Linked DNA regions of Daphnia pulex. The protein of the gene in region 1 purifies or fractionates together with the protein of each later gene. This does not show direct contact. Links are inferred from orthologs where the notes say so. Each region holds a gene or a part of one and is shown on either strand. Other genes may lie near its edges. The genes, in order: unconventional myosin-Va-like and myosin-2 essential light chain-like.

The links.
Region 2: the proteins of unconventional myosin-Va-like (region 1) and myosin-2 essential light chain-like purify together in Drosophila melanogaster (affinity purification with mass spectrometry; 3 studies listed by BioGRID, with this or other methods). This does not show direct contact. The link is inferred for Daphnia pulex from reciprocal best matches to the Drosophila melanogaster genes didum and Mlc-c.

Annotation. Positions count from the first base shown.
Region 1 is NC_060024.1:9,027,555-9,034,439, reverse strand, and holds the end of unconventional myosin-Va-like, read right to left. Parts: coding exon 4,705-6,885; intron 4,637-4,704; coding exon 4,395-4,636; intron 4,322-4,394; coding exon 4,214-4,321; intron 4,154-4,213; coding exon 4,032-4,153; intron 3,974-4,031; coding exon 3,832-3,973; intron 3,757-3,831; coding exon 3,241-3,756; 3' UTR 2,691-3,240; downstream 1-2,690.
Region 2 is NC_060023.1:11,862,492-11,869,953, forward strand, and holds myosin-2 essential light chain-like, read left to right. Parts: upstream 1-3,751; 5' UTR 3,752-3,882; coding exon 3,883-3,885; intron 3,886-3,974; coding exon 3,975-4,002; intron 4,003-4,136; coding exon 4,137-4,277; intron 4,278-4,338; coding exon 4,339-4,503; intron 4,504-4,575; coding exon 4,576-4,682; 3' UTR 4,683-4,938; downstream 4,939-7,462. Other genes in the region: COA8 family protein Y39B6A.34, mitochondrial-like, read left to right, coding at 1,675-1,776, 1,834-2,031, 2,096-2,329; oligosaccharyltransferase complex subunit ostc-B-like, read right to left, coding at 2,577-2,595, 2,659-2,876, 2,947-3,020, 3,093-3,231.

The DNA.
Region 1 (6,885 bases):
AACACTGCGGACACTGGGTTAATCGAATGTTCAATAATAGGCAGGATATTTAAAAGCTTTGGGTTGGGCGGGAACGTTCGATGACCTAATTAAGTGACACATGATGATACATCAATGTTGACACTATACCGCGCATTCCCCCGCACCGGATAAAAAATATTTTAAGTTTCAAATTAATTTTCGTTGATCCTGATTAAATCCTCAAGATTTTAAAACGAAAGTTTTAACGCTGTGTAGTAACGAATTATGATTAAGATACCGGAGCAGTTTGGTCCCAGACCAGTGGCCCATATGTAATGCTCAAGTTCAGACTTGGAGGGAAGTTTTCTTGCCTCATCATACCTTTCGTACACTGTATACTTTTTTCAAACTGCGCGAATCCTTATTCCGCTGTGATTAACCAGCGGAAGGAATATGCATGAACGACATCTTCAGATTTCTGTTCCTCTAGATATATATAGTTTGACGCTGTTGGTCTACACTATTTATATACATACATGCTGCTCACCTTTTTGTTCCGATATTGTCTGGTGCCATTCAATCTTTTCGCGATGAGAAGAGCTCACATGCAGAAACGACATTGTGACGTATAGATGGAAATAGCTTCCGAAATCTGATGGCGATAGCATTTTATTTCAGAAACGACGCGACAAGAGTGTACAGCAGCAGCAGCAGCAGTTGTAGTAAAAGAAATTCAATTTAGTTTGGCTGAAATGGAAGCCAATTAGCCATAAGTGCTCGCTATATGGCTCCACCAATCTGGGCGAGTCGATGACTATTGTCAATGGGATGGATGGAAAATCCAATTAAACTTGAAGCCTCTAGGCGTGTCAAAAATATTCCACCTTCTCGCACTTTCGCGCTGAGATCTATACTTTGGAATCTAAAAGCAGAAGAGTTAGGGCATCTTTACTCTGTGTACTACCACGAAAAAGAAAAATAGTCTGTGCGCCAGTCACTGTGACCTATTGAGATCGATGTCGAGTGCAACATGTGTGCTTATTCCCTTTTTTCGATGCGGAGAAACTTGATTGAACGTAACACGTCATTGAACGATATAGTGGAAAGATAGTTGATGAGGAGCATTATTTGACACATCCGGCAAACTTAAATGGCACTCAATGCGCAATAAAAATAAAAACTTAAATCCTTTTGGGTCCTGGACTGCTGTCTAAGGATTCTTTGTTAATTCAAATCTATTTTTTCCTTGATTTTTTCATTGCAAAATTTATTGAAATCATACGATTGGACGGAGGTAACTGACAAAAGTATTACGTAAGCGTGAAGGGAGTTGTGCGTTTTCTTTTTGCATAAAAGAAAAAGTTTCTTCGCTTTGCTTTCGGCTGACTGGATGATCCAGATAGGCTATTCGGTCAAATCACCAGGGATTTGGGGATTTTTTATTTTTTCTATCCTGAAAGCCTGAGACTGTCAACGAAAGCGCAAATCCATGTCAATTGGTCTCTGGCTCTCATTCGACGAAATCATTTAGACTCTTATTCTGATATTAGCTTTATACGCGGACTATAAGATCTTGTTAGCGTACCCTCCTGTTCCATCAATGGGAGAAAATCATCTTCTTTGATTCAATTCAATTTAGTTTTGCAAAGCAGAATGCGTCAGCTATTTAACAAATAGATGATGGCTGAAAGTGGATGACACACACATCTCGCAATTCATAATGTACCTCTTACGTCATTAACAACATGAATAAATAAGATAAGCTAATGTAACAGCGGAACCTCCTATTGTATGGAAAGCCGTTGGTGACACATTTCACGGAAAATGTGCAGGCGTGTACAGGTGACGCAAGTTGCAATGCTACTTCCAATTGCACTTCCAATTGCAAACAGATATGCAAGGGTAGTATGCAAATTATACTTATGATAATGACAATCAACTCGGTGATGCGCACATTACAATGGATATGTATATTCCCTGTTTTTAAAATTGAACCAGTGGTAGGCCTACCTCGACGACTTCGCCATCTAGGGTGGGCGCACATATTTTCCTCGAATCCCTACCCTTCTAGATGGCGAAGTCGTTGAGCTACTACTGGTTCAAAAAACCGGGCATTACAAATTACAATTTTCAACTATGATGAGACCTGTTTGTCTATGGAATTCTCATTACACCTGCGTTACTTCCAAAAATCCCCTAGACCAACAGTCTCTTGGTCCATGAATTAATCTCCATCCTCTTCGTGAAATATAAGAATAATCAAAGCCACAAAAAGCCTCTGTAATTCGTGATTTTTTTAAGTATCTTGCGCATAAATTGTTTTATTTTCATTTTACTCGATTTAATGCAGATAACATGATCCAACTCTCAAGCAGCGGAAATTGATCCACCAACAAGAAATTCGAGAATAGAATACGAGAATGGCAAATTAGATTACAGAGAGAAGTTGATGACTAACAGTAATTAGTTATGGCGTCACGGAAAAATTCAAGGTCTTTTGCGCGCAGGAATGAAGATTGAAGAGAATGAAAAAGGAATTATTTTCCCTTATATCTTTACTAGTGCCATTAGGGAGATTGAAAACATGAAGCAAGAGCTAGCTCACACCTTTAATTGCTACAAATCATTAGCAGGCAAATTTCTCATGTAGCCTTCGTCTTATTAAGAAAATGTTACGTGATGTAACGTAAAAATTTGAGTGAAAACAAAAATAAATTAAATAATATAAATTATCGCAATCACAAATCTGTATTCGATTAAATAAATCAACACAACAATGAAACGGCTGAATGATTTTGAAAACGGGGATTCCCGCAAACTGCCTAACAGAACGGAAATAGTGCATGAACTACGGAAACGGAACAGCATCTTTGGACTTTTTTAATAATGAACATAAGAAATGAAAAAAAAAATAAAAAAAAAACAAACGAACAATAGATCGACCTTGGGCCATAGCTGCAGGCATATCCTACAAGCATAGAAAATTACGTTTGTAAGTATAAATATATTGGTCTCTGTTTTCGCAGAGATCGTGAGTCCAAAGCAGGTCACTAACAGAAATCTTTGGCAGATCATTGTTCTTCTCTTAAGCAACATTGCAGTTTGTTCTTGTACTTAGTATCAATGATAACGCATTTCTTCTTATTTGAAATAGAACAAATGGCCGCAGTTAGCTTCGAGACGTTTGCAGCCAAACACATTTCGTTCCTCAATACTTAACACACACCAACGGAATGCTTCGATAAGAATATAACGCACATCTGCATGGGATAAATGATCTTAAACCTTCTTCAGCATTGGTAGATTTAAAACGGCAGGAATGTCTATGTCTTCTAGTTTGATAGAAGATGGGCTGTATGGAAAGCGCACCGTAAATGCGTGTTTGGTATCCATTAGCAATTTGCTCTGTGATTGGTGGTCGGTTCGTTTTTGCAGCTCTTCCTGCACTTTGCGGATAAAAGAAATCGGAATTCGATCTTCCAATTCATCGGCTGGCGTGTACAGATTCAGAATTTTGATGATCTGAGCGCTGGTTAACCGGGAACACATCGTGCAAATGTTACTGACGTCGTCGTCGGATTTTCTGGCTTGTAACAACTGTGCGGCTTGGATAATAGGCTGCAGGGTATCTACGATAGTAGCACTCATACTGTCCTGTCCATGAATGTGCTGGTCACGCACCCATTGTTCCAGATGGGAAATATTGTACCGAATCTGAATGCCTTTCGACCAGTGACACATTTCTTTACGCAGTAGGAGGTTGTTCAATGCACAGGCACAAATGTAATAGAACACCTGAAAATAAAGATAAAATTTAAGTATTGAATTAAGAATGGTATGTAACCTACATAAATGCACGAAGGCAAATACCTGGCGGAAAGCTTGGGCGATAAGCGTCGGATCTACGCCATATAACTGCAACACTTGGTGGAAAATGGTTAACTCGCGCAACAAATGTGCGATCGCTTCTTGTGGATCAACAGGACTTGTGGTATCCCTCGTTGACCCCGATCTGTAATTGCCAGATAGTAAATATTGGAAACTTTTGGCTGATAAAAATCATCAATTACCTCGCTCGGCCGCTCTGTCCTACTGGTTGCTTATGACTAGAAAGTCCAGAGATGGCTTCATGTTCCAACACTGCAGTGACAATAAGCTGCTGAACACGCTCTTCCATAAATTTGATTACCGCCTAAGAGTAATTGCAATTATTTCATCAGTTCAATTAGTTTCACGATTAAGAAAAAATCACCTGATAAATCCAAACAGCGATATCACTAAGAACTTGTCGGTATTCTGACAAATCAAAATTCCTCAAACATTGTTCATTTTGTTTCGGAGTATTTTCCTCTTGGAAGGTCTGTGAAAATCAATTACATGACATTAGATGATTTAAATAATTAGATGGGCAACGCTTGCAAATTGAAACATACCTTTTCTCCACTGTACTGCTTTAGACTGTGTAAAAGTCTGCACGTGTTGACTAACCAGACAACTGAAGTGTCCAGATCCTCATATCGTTTCTTAATGAGTCGACGAATAGCGTTAATAATCAGAGTTAAGAAAGATCTGATTTTATCGTCGCTGTTGATGTAATCTGCGTGTCGGACACACATAAAAATGATGTATGCCGGAAGACCGGGTAACAGAGTTGACGCAACGCGTGGTTTCAATTCTAGAAATTCAAACCAAAAAAATCATTATGAAGTTACTTTATTTCGTCACAACACCAAAAGGACTCACCGTAGACGAGATTCCTGGCGATCTGCTTTTCGTCGCCCATGTTAAAATCAAACATTCCAAGGTAATTCGTTTCCTTTTTACGAACAACCGGCAGCGATGATTCGCTTCTTTCGTTCCTGCGACTCGAATGCACTGTTTCACGCACTTCAGGGCTGGCTTCCTGATTTTCGGCAGGTACACCCTCTTGCTTCACCCTTTTCGCCAATTTCATCTGCGATCTGTACTTTTTGAGTTGCTCGGATAGCAAATCATTCTTTTCCTGGAGATCCAAATTGTCAGCCGTGAGTCGAGAAATTTCATGCTGCATGACAGCATCGGTTTGTCCTTGTGGCGTCCGATGTAAGGCCCCAGCAAGAAGCTTTGCCTGCTGTTCATTATCCAATCGCAGACGTTCGACTTCTTCTCTTTCAATTTGAATCTTCCGCTGAGACGAGGCTTTCTCTTCCTGTAATTCATTTTCTAGGTGCCGTATGATACGCTTTTGAGATTCAAAAGCCATCAAAATCTCGTTGTCTTCAGCAAACGGCTCTCCTCCGTTTAGACGCGATGCGTTCAGTGTAGTTTGCTCACCAATGTCGCCTCCAAGAGTCGTGTTAGCCAACACGGTTCGCAGCTGAATACATTCCTCTCGTCGTCGATCGAGCTCGTCGGACATGGCATCGAATTGGCTCATCAGCATATCCAGACTGCGGGGCAATTGAACCTCATTCTCTGTTGCAGCTTGACGACGAAGATTCTTCAGGTCATCTTTGATCTTGGCGTTTTCCATTTCGAGCTCTTGCAAGCGTATCATGTCCTGAGCTCTCCTGACATCGGCAGTCGGACTTTCGCGCTCCAACTCTTCAACCCTAGTCGCCAATGATGCCTTGTCTTTTTCAACAGTCTTCAACCGCTGTTGTAGCTTGAGGACCAGACCAACATCTTCGCTGTCCGACCGATTAGGAACATGACGAACAGATCCATAACCACCATCATCTTCAGGATTTGCGATCAATTCACTGGTATTGCTGAGCGTACTCACGTTCGAAGCGTTGCGAGAATGACCACGAATAGTTTCACTCTTGCTGCTTTTCCCTGGTTCCTCATGAAGGCGTTCAAGTTCTCTTTCAGCTTCTTCAAACCGCTCCTCCAGCTCGTGGTAGTCCTGAAGCAACTTCTGGTAGGCTGCTCTTTCTTGATCGTACTCCTGAGCCAGCATAGCTCGTTCTTGGTCCAGTCTTCGTAGGATGGATTCTTCGGCTTCCTGACTGCGGGTTTGGTTGATTTCAGTCGACTCAACGAGCTCTTTTTGAATATTTTCGATTTGAGCGTTTAACTCTTCATTTTGCTTTTCAACCCTCTCGCGATCTTGTACGAGATCCATCTTTTCATCTCTCTCACGATCCAGTTGGGTCTGCAATTGTTTTACCATGAGTTCGAGTTCACCTATCCGCCCAACAGAAACTTTTAACTCATTGGCTAATCCGCGGTTTGCTTCACACTGGGTCTTCAATTCGGCATAATCATTTTGCTTTTGTCGAAGAGGTATCAGCTCTTTGTTCATCTCTTCAATTCTTTGTTGCATGGATATAATCTTATTTTCCAAGCCTTTATTAAGATTTTTGACGTGCTCGATAGATCGGGCCTCCAAACGAAGAGCTTTGTATTGACGACGGGCCAACCAACGACGCCAGCAGCACTGCAACAGGACGATGCTCTTACGTGCACGAAGATAACGTCGTCTGGCTAAGAAACCGCGAACCATCTTTTGAATCATAACTGCCTTGGCATTGCACACCAATTGCAGGTATCTCTTGCGAGCCAGGAATCCACGGCCATACGTCTGCAGACGGAGTACGTTCTCACGGAGTCGGGTATAAGAACGTCGCTTAAGAAATCCTCGGACGTGTTTCTGAATAACGATGGCTGATCTTGTTTCTCTCAAGCGCTGAGCTTTACAACGAGCCAAGTAACCGCGACAAAATCGCTGGACGCCAACAACTGCCAGTCGCAACTTAACGTAGCGCTTTCGGTAGAACCAGCCACGAATCATCCGCTGAATGAGAATTCCGCAAGCTCTTAATTTGTCTGTACGGCGCTTCTCCAAGTATGCAACTTGACCGGCACGGAAGAAAATTTTGCTTGCTCCAAACTTGAATTTGTCTTCTTCGGTTATAAGAGTAGCGAGGACTGCCTCACAAG
Region 2 (7,462 bases), on another chromosome or scaffold:
GCTGGGGCAACGTAGGTTGTAGTGCAGTATTTGGGCGTTTCGGTGATGTAACAAGTTAGATCCTCGGTGTAGTAGCTGGGAACAGAATAGTACATGGGAGCATTAGTATAGTTAGATGAGGCATCGGTAGGTTTTAGTTTAATACTTAGAGCCTTGGTGGTGTAGTATTTAGGGGCCTCGGGAAGTACATGTTCCGTATGTTGACTTCGTTGTGTAGTAAAGCGGCGGCGTTGCGGTTTGGTACCACCACACTCAAATACATCGGTACCCCGTGATCGCCCCAGCCATCAACGATACAACACCCAACAGCAGCACGACCCATAGTCAACTAGACAAAAAATAATTTAACATTAATTATTAGTTAGAACTAGTAAATTAACGAATAGAAAAATATGGAATGATTCACAACTCCATGTTAAAAACAAACAGAATATTTACCCATGTTTTAAGATGGAGCAGAGTATGTTGCAGTATGATTTTCTCTCGTGGTCGACATCAACGATGCAACACCCAACTGCAGCACGGCGTCATAGTTAACAATACAATAAACGATTTAAAAATTAATTTTCGAATACAACTAGTCATTTCAATAACTAACATAAGATAGAATTCATTCACGACTCGAATTAAAATTGATTATTTACCCATGATTGCGAACTGATAATGAGATGAAGAAGTCATCTGGTGCGCTGCAGTTGTTGCCGTGTCGTAGACGTTCACTCGACTGATCACTGTGGCCTTTTCTCTCTCCTTTTATACGACTTTTTCTCACCCTTACCTCTCAACTCAAGGCTTGCGGCAATTGTAGACCTACTTGATAATGTTGCAACACGTGTCGTTCTCACCCAACCTCTACACCACTGCAAGAAAGTTTTACCAATTCTATGTAATGATCTCCGTGACCTTCGGTTGAATGACATACAAACTGGCCTTTCCTCCCGCAGGTTGACGTAGCTGGGGATGGGTTTACAAAAAACATTATCAAAATGAATACCAAATGGTTATGTAAAACTTGCCTTTCTTACCCAACCTCTACACCACAACATTGACAGTTTTACGTAATGATCTCAGTGACCTTCGAAAGTGAAGGACATGCAAACTGGCCTCTTCCTTCTGCTTCTGTAGGTTGACGTTGCCGGGGATGGGTCTACAAAAAACAATATCAAATTAATACCAAATGACTTAAAACTCACTTTATCCAAATTTACATTTAAGTAAATTGACTCGTTTCTTCGGTGAATGAATAAATCTTCCATTTCGAACCACTTTTTTTTCTTCCATATTGTTTGAAGGACACTCGACTTTTTTGAAGATGTTCCACTGCTAACTTATCTAAAAAGTTTCAAACACATGATCAATCCATATTCATTTCATAATGTGCACACGGTTGACCCTTGTTAGAAACCTCTTTTCTTAGTCAATAAGTTCTCAACAAAAACAACAGTAACAAACCAATAATCTACATTCACAACTTAAAAGAATATAAGGAAGAATTACCATTTTTTTTACAAAAATGTCAGGAAAAAAGTACACCGTAGAGGCGTAGAGAAATTTACTTGCATTTACGATCAGCGTCTCCAAATTAAATGGCGAATAATACAATTCTTATTTGTTCATCGCACACCATCTATGGGAATGTAGCAAGAAATTTTAAATTGAGAAAGTGGTCACTAGATGGACATGAAATGTTTACATTTTACAAGGATGGCGACTCTAGCTACAGCCACACGCGTCTCGACAACTCGTTTTTTGTTTTATCGTTGTTTTTCTACAGAGGTAAAGCACTATTTTTTGAAATTTCCCACTTTGTGTTATAAGCCTTATAATTTATAGGTTCCAGAGGCTGTTTCTAAAGCCATTGCCACAACAGATGTCTACGGCCCTCCAGACCCAAAGTCAAGTCTTCGCCTAATCACCTTCTATATCGCCCCTGATGAAACTGAAGCTGAGAAAGAGTACAGACTTAGACGGGCTCAGGTACAGGAATGGAACCACTTATTTTGGACTATCCATAATGTTCAATTTACCCAGGTGATTAATTGTCTAATTACTATAAATTTGAATTTACTTTTGATAACGCTGCATCCATGAGCAGGCCAAAGAAGAATTTGTGACATCAGTGTTAGAGAGAAGAGGTAAAGATGCCACCACAACAGGGCAACCCCTAACTGCTGATGATTTATCTGAATTCTACAGGGCATTCCTAGATCAAAATAGGGAAAAGCACTTGAAGTATAATGTAGAATGGCACATGAAAAACATGGGTCTTCTATGGCCTGGAATTAAGGCAAATTTAAGTAGATTTAAAAAGGGTTTTTCTACTATGTAAAGTTATGTAACATAGGTCCCAGTACAGACTTATTTAATACATTGTGTTAAGATTGTAATTGTCATTATTAGTTGTCACTTCTTTTCAGCTTCATTTAGAAGCTCAGTATTGCCAACAAGCAGAAAAGTAGGGAAGTGGCAATTAGAAAAACAGAGACTTGCAGCAAAGTACAGAGAGAAGGGCCAGAAAGCATACAAAATTATACTTGAACTCTTATGTATTTCATCCCCATTGTTGGTCATCACATCTATGACTGCAGATAACCACTAAAATAAAATAATAAAAACATTTAAATTGGTGTCATGGAGTTGAAGAAACGAATAACTTACGGCAGTTTCATTCTCATGAAAATCCATGTGGTCAGGAATGAAATAACAATGCAGATAAATCCAAGAAAGATGAGAAGCAGTCTGTTGAACTTAGGCATGGTAGTAGATTGGGTTTGGTCAAGTATTACATAGCCTAATCCACCAAGGGTAAACATGAAACTGGATGCAAGACCTTCTAAAATGTATTGGCCATTGACTCTGTATGGCATGAAGGCAACCTATTCAAATTAATAAACCATCAAGCATTTAGAAACACATAGTGGGAGTCTTTGATATGGTAAAACTCACTGGACGAGAATGTCCTCGCTCATCAGTTGTTGACCCAATTGAAGGTGGCTCCACAATAACATCATAGATTATACCTGATTAGATCAAAATAATATTAAACAATCATGATTTTATATTTGTCAATAACAGCAATATTCTATACACACCTCCTGTAACCATGAAATATGACAACAGAACGATAGAGAACACGGTCATTGCTGAGGGCTGGTGAAACCATGTCGGTTTTTTTATTTTCAAATTGGGTACTTCCAACACGGAAAAAGGAATGCTGTATAAAACTTCCATTGTGCCTTTATAGAATAATATTTTTCTCAATTAAGCATCCGTCCAAAATAAACCGGCTCAAACGTCAACTGACTGCACGCCACGTAGTGACAGCTGAGAGGTAGCTACGCTTTGCAGAGATGCCGATAACACAGAATATGATCATTAAAAAAAAACAACTCAATAATGAAAAAATATAGATTTGATCAATAACAAAATACTATTATCGCTCGACAAAGCCAATTTTAAAAATAAAACTGAAAGAAAATGATGGCTTCATTGTTAACATTTTGGAGAGAAGAGAAGAGAGATAGGATTGGTCGAACAAAAATGTTTTCAAGCGGCGAACCACCAAAGCTTGGAACTACGTTTAATGAAAATTGTGGTAACAAAATAAATCAATATTTTGGAGGCAAAATCAACTAAAACAATTCTCAATTTTTTAAATATTCGCGTATTTATGGACCTTGAATTATCTTATTTCAACCATTTCAATAACAGACTCCTATTGTTATCTCGCCAAAAGGTGGCGCGTATTTTTAGCGTTGCTAGTCTACATTTTATATCTATGGTACGGACCATTTGACGTCAGTTTCCAAAAAAATTTCAACACAGACTGCTTGTGCATTCGTTTGGGTGTGTTTCTGTTCTGTAGTTCACGTTTCGAAAAAAATGGTAATTGATTTTCTAATGACAGTTAAACGGTTACAATTGGTTGAAATAAATAATCTAACTATTTCTTATTCTTCTGCTTCTATTTAAAGGCCGGATACAGTGAAGATCAACTTGCTGGTAAGAAAACTTTTAAAGATGCAATTTTCATACCTTATATGGTAATGAAAGTTGGTGCAGACCTTTGACATAATCGGCCTAGATTTCCCTTGCCGTTCCCTTTCTGATGCATTAATTGAATATTTCTCTTGTAGACTTTCAGGAAGCATTTCAACTTTTTGATCAAAAAGGAGATGGTTGTGTTCAGGTGTCTCAGATTGGTGACATTTTGCGTGCCTTGGGACAGAACCCCACAGAATCTGATGTGAAGAAGTTGACCCACAATCACCGACCAGGTAATTACATTGAAAGAGATCTTCCGGTTCAATCAGTTCATGTTCTTTTGTAATTCTTTAGAGGCTCGTGTCAACTTTGAGGTGTTTTTGCCAATCCTCCAAGCCATTTCCAAAAACCGTTCAGCCGATACAGCTGAAGATTTCATTGAAGGACTGAGGCATTTTGACAAAGATGGCAATGGTTACATTTCATCTGCAGAACTCAGACATCTCCTCACAACCTTGGGTAACGCCTAATGACTTGCATTCAACATTGGGTGTGTCATTTATAATAAACAAACAATTATTTTGAATTTAGGTGAGAAGTTGGCTGATGAAGAAGTTGGAGAACTATTGAATGGCCATGAAGACTCCCAGGGCAACGTGAATTATGAAGAATTTGTTCGTGCCGTCATGAGCGGTTAGATCGGGGGATTATACGACTTATTTTATACTTTCATATTACCCCAGTTCTCGATTTAATAAATTCATTAAATTCCTCGTAAAAAAAAACAAAAAAACATCTCTAATTAGTACTTATGTTCTGATCCAATAACAAAGCCCTAAAACATCTTTCCTACCCCCACATCTATATTCTTATCTCTCTGGTGTGTATTGCAGTGCCTTTTTCATCATAATATTACCGCACATTCCACAATACACTTTGGCGCTTCCTCAACTACCTATCGGATCTATTACATTTGGCAACATCATGTGGAGCAAACATCCTGTGTACACGCAATTCATTAGTAACGAGATATTCATCGCAAAGTTCACTGGCCGTTTCTTTTTTAAAAGATAAAACAAAAAGGGACGCTGCCCCACTTGACGAATTTTCTTAGTTGGTAACATCAGCCGCCAGATGGCAGTCATTTAATCGTGAAAAAAGAAAAACGGCCGATTGTTGGTAGTATTATTAATGTCTAGGAATATTCATTTCATCATGCGATCAATTGAGTGCGATGACGCAACTCGGGGCGGAAGGAAGGAAGCGAAACGGTAGCGGGTACGACTTCAGTCGGACGTGCCAAGTCGAAATTAGACGTTTCCTACGGGTGGAAGAGTTCCAAGAGGCCAGCGAAAGGAAAAAGAATGATGGGACATTTCAAACACTCGAGGGTCAAATATAGAAAACAACCTCAAGTGGCGAAATAGAAATAGCCGCGCGCACAAACTTTTTTGGCTTCTAGACTTTGTGTGTTCTTTTAATAACGAAAAAAAGAAGACACTCTTATGGCAACAACAACAAAACAAAAGAGATAGAGAGGATTGATGGCAGATCAACAATGCTTGACGATGACTCGCAACAAATTATAAACACGAGGCGCAAACAAAAACAACCATCCAGTCTATTCGGCATTCGCTTCCGCACGTGTTTTTGGGTGGTGCCCGGATCGGTGCGCATTCCCCACGTTGGCGTTTCGAGGTCGCCACTAATAATCGACATGCCACGCGCATTCATTCCTTGGACGTCGTAACAGCTGCCAACTCGAGTATCCAATTAGCTGTTGAATTAGTTCACTTGCGCTCGGCAATCAATCAAATATTCGCAAATCGACTTTTCGTTTGACTTAAAAATCAACTTTTCAACAGCAGAGCCGCGAAATGTTTTGAGAATCGATTTCTTACAATCGATCGACATCTACAAGTTTTCATTTTATTTTTATTATTTCGTTCCAGATGATCCCGACGGCGCCATTTCGGATTAGAATTGGAAAGGAGCCGAGAGTCTTTTTTTTATCACCGACACAATTAAGTAGGGGCCTAGCTACTTAGCGACGGGATTACTCGTCGATGTGCACGACGTAACACATGTTCAAATGCGCAGTAGATTGCAATCCGTTTCAACTGTTGTTGAATGACTTTTGTTTGTGTGTATCGGGAACGGACAAACAAAAAGGAGAGACCCCCCCTAATTCATTATCAAGGTTAGAACACAAGATATCAGCTGCTGGAAGAGATTATTAGTGTAGCTATAAAATCGTCTCGTTTCTAATCTTTGCGGCCGGGAGATTTGGTAACGATGACGTTCGATTTCGTTCTGATATGAAAGTTCACGTTGTACCCGCTATTCTTACACGTCAAGTCATAAAGGTCCACAAGTTTCTGAATCAATTCTTAATACAATTGTTGACTCATTCCAGACTGTACGCGCTCAACATTTTCGCTTAAAAAACGTTCAGGTACGAATTTAATTTCCATTGAAAAATATTTCAATCGAAAATTTCAAATTTCTTAATCTAATTTTAGAACTAAAAGAGAAAATTGAAAAATGAAACTGACCGTTTGTTGCGTCCTCGTCGCTTTCATGTCGGTCATGTTGGTCTCGGTGCAAGCCAATTCCATCGCAGTCCGAAGCATCGGTAAATTTCATTAAACGATTCAAATTTCCATCGCTTAAAATGAAATTTTTTTTTATTCTTAGAGGGCCGTGCGGAAGTGGTTACGGTGGCGACGACAACGACAACTCGTGACTGGGGCCAAGTCTGCGCTGATTTGTGCAAGACGGGCGACGGAGGAGTATTGTGTAATTGCGAATTAGTTCCGGTCCGACGTCGCTGAATCAAAGAGAAAAATCACATGTTATCTTGAAACGAATTACACCAAATTTTGTATCCAGCCAATAAACTCCCTTGTTTATAAAACATCTATTGCTTGGTTTTAGTTTGAATTGATCTTTCCCGATCGATTAAATATCTCGCAGTATCCTTCCCGCCCTCCTCTTATACGTGGAGAAATTATTAACAGACGCAATACATCAATTACAGCAACAGCAATAACATCTTGACGTTCGTAGTCGTCTCGAGAAAGATGAAGAAAAATTATTCGAATTAAACAGTCGAGAATATTCTACGAAACAACAACTGAACGAAGGGGGAAAATAACAAAAGAATTTGAACGACAGGTTCCAAATGGAAGAGAAATATCATCAACAATTTGAACAAGCAGGGACCCATGTACCATAACGTGAATATTAATTAGTTTAGTGCCTGGAATTTGGACCCTGAAATCTCTCGCCATATGTAACGCGGGAGGGGTGACGCTGGTGATCTCTGCTGCGCAATTCCATAAGTCTTAAATGCAAGTAGCGAAGGTTTTAGATACGATATCGTGATATTGTAAACGGTTGAGTTGCTGCTGTTCCTGAGCGATGACGCCCAGCTGTTTCACGCATGTTAGCTCCTTCTCTCTCACGGGTATAGATA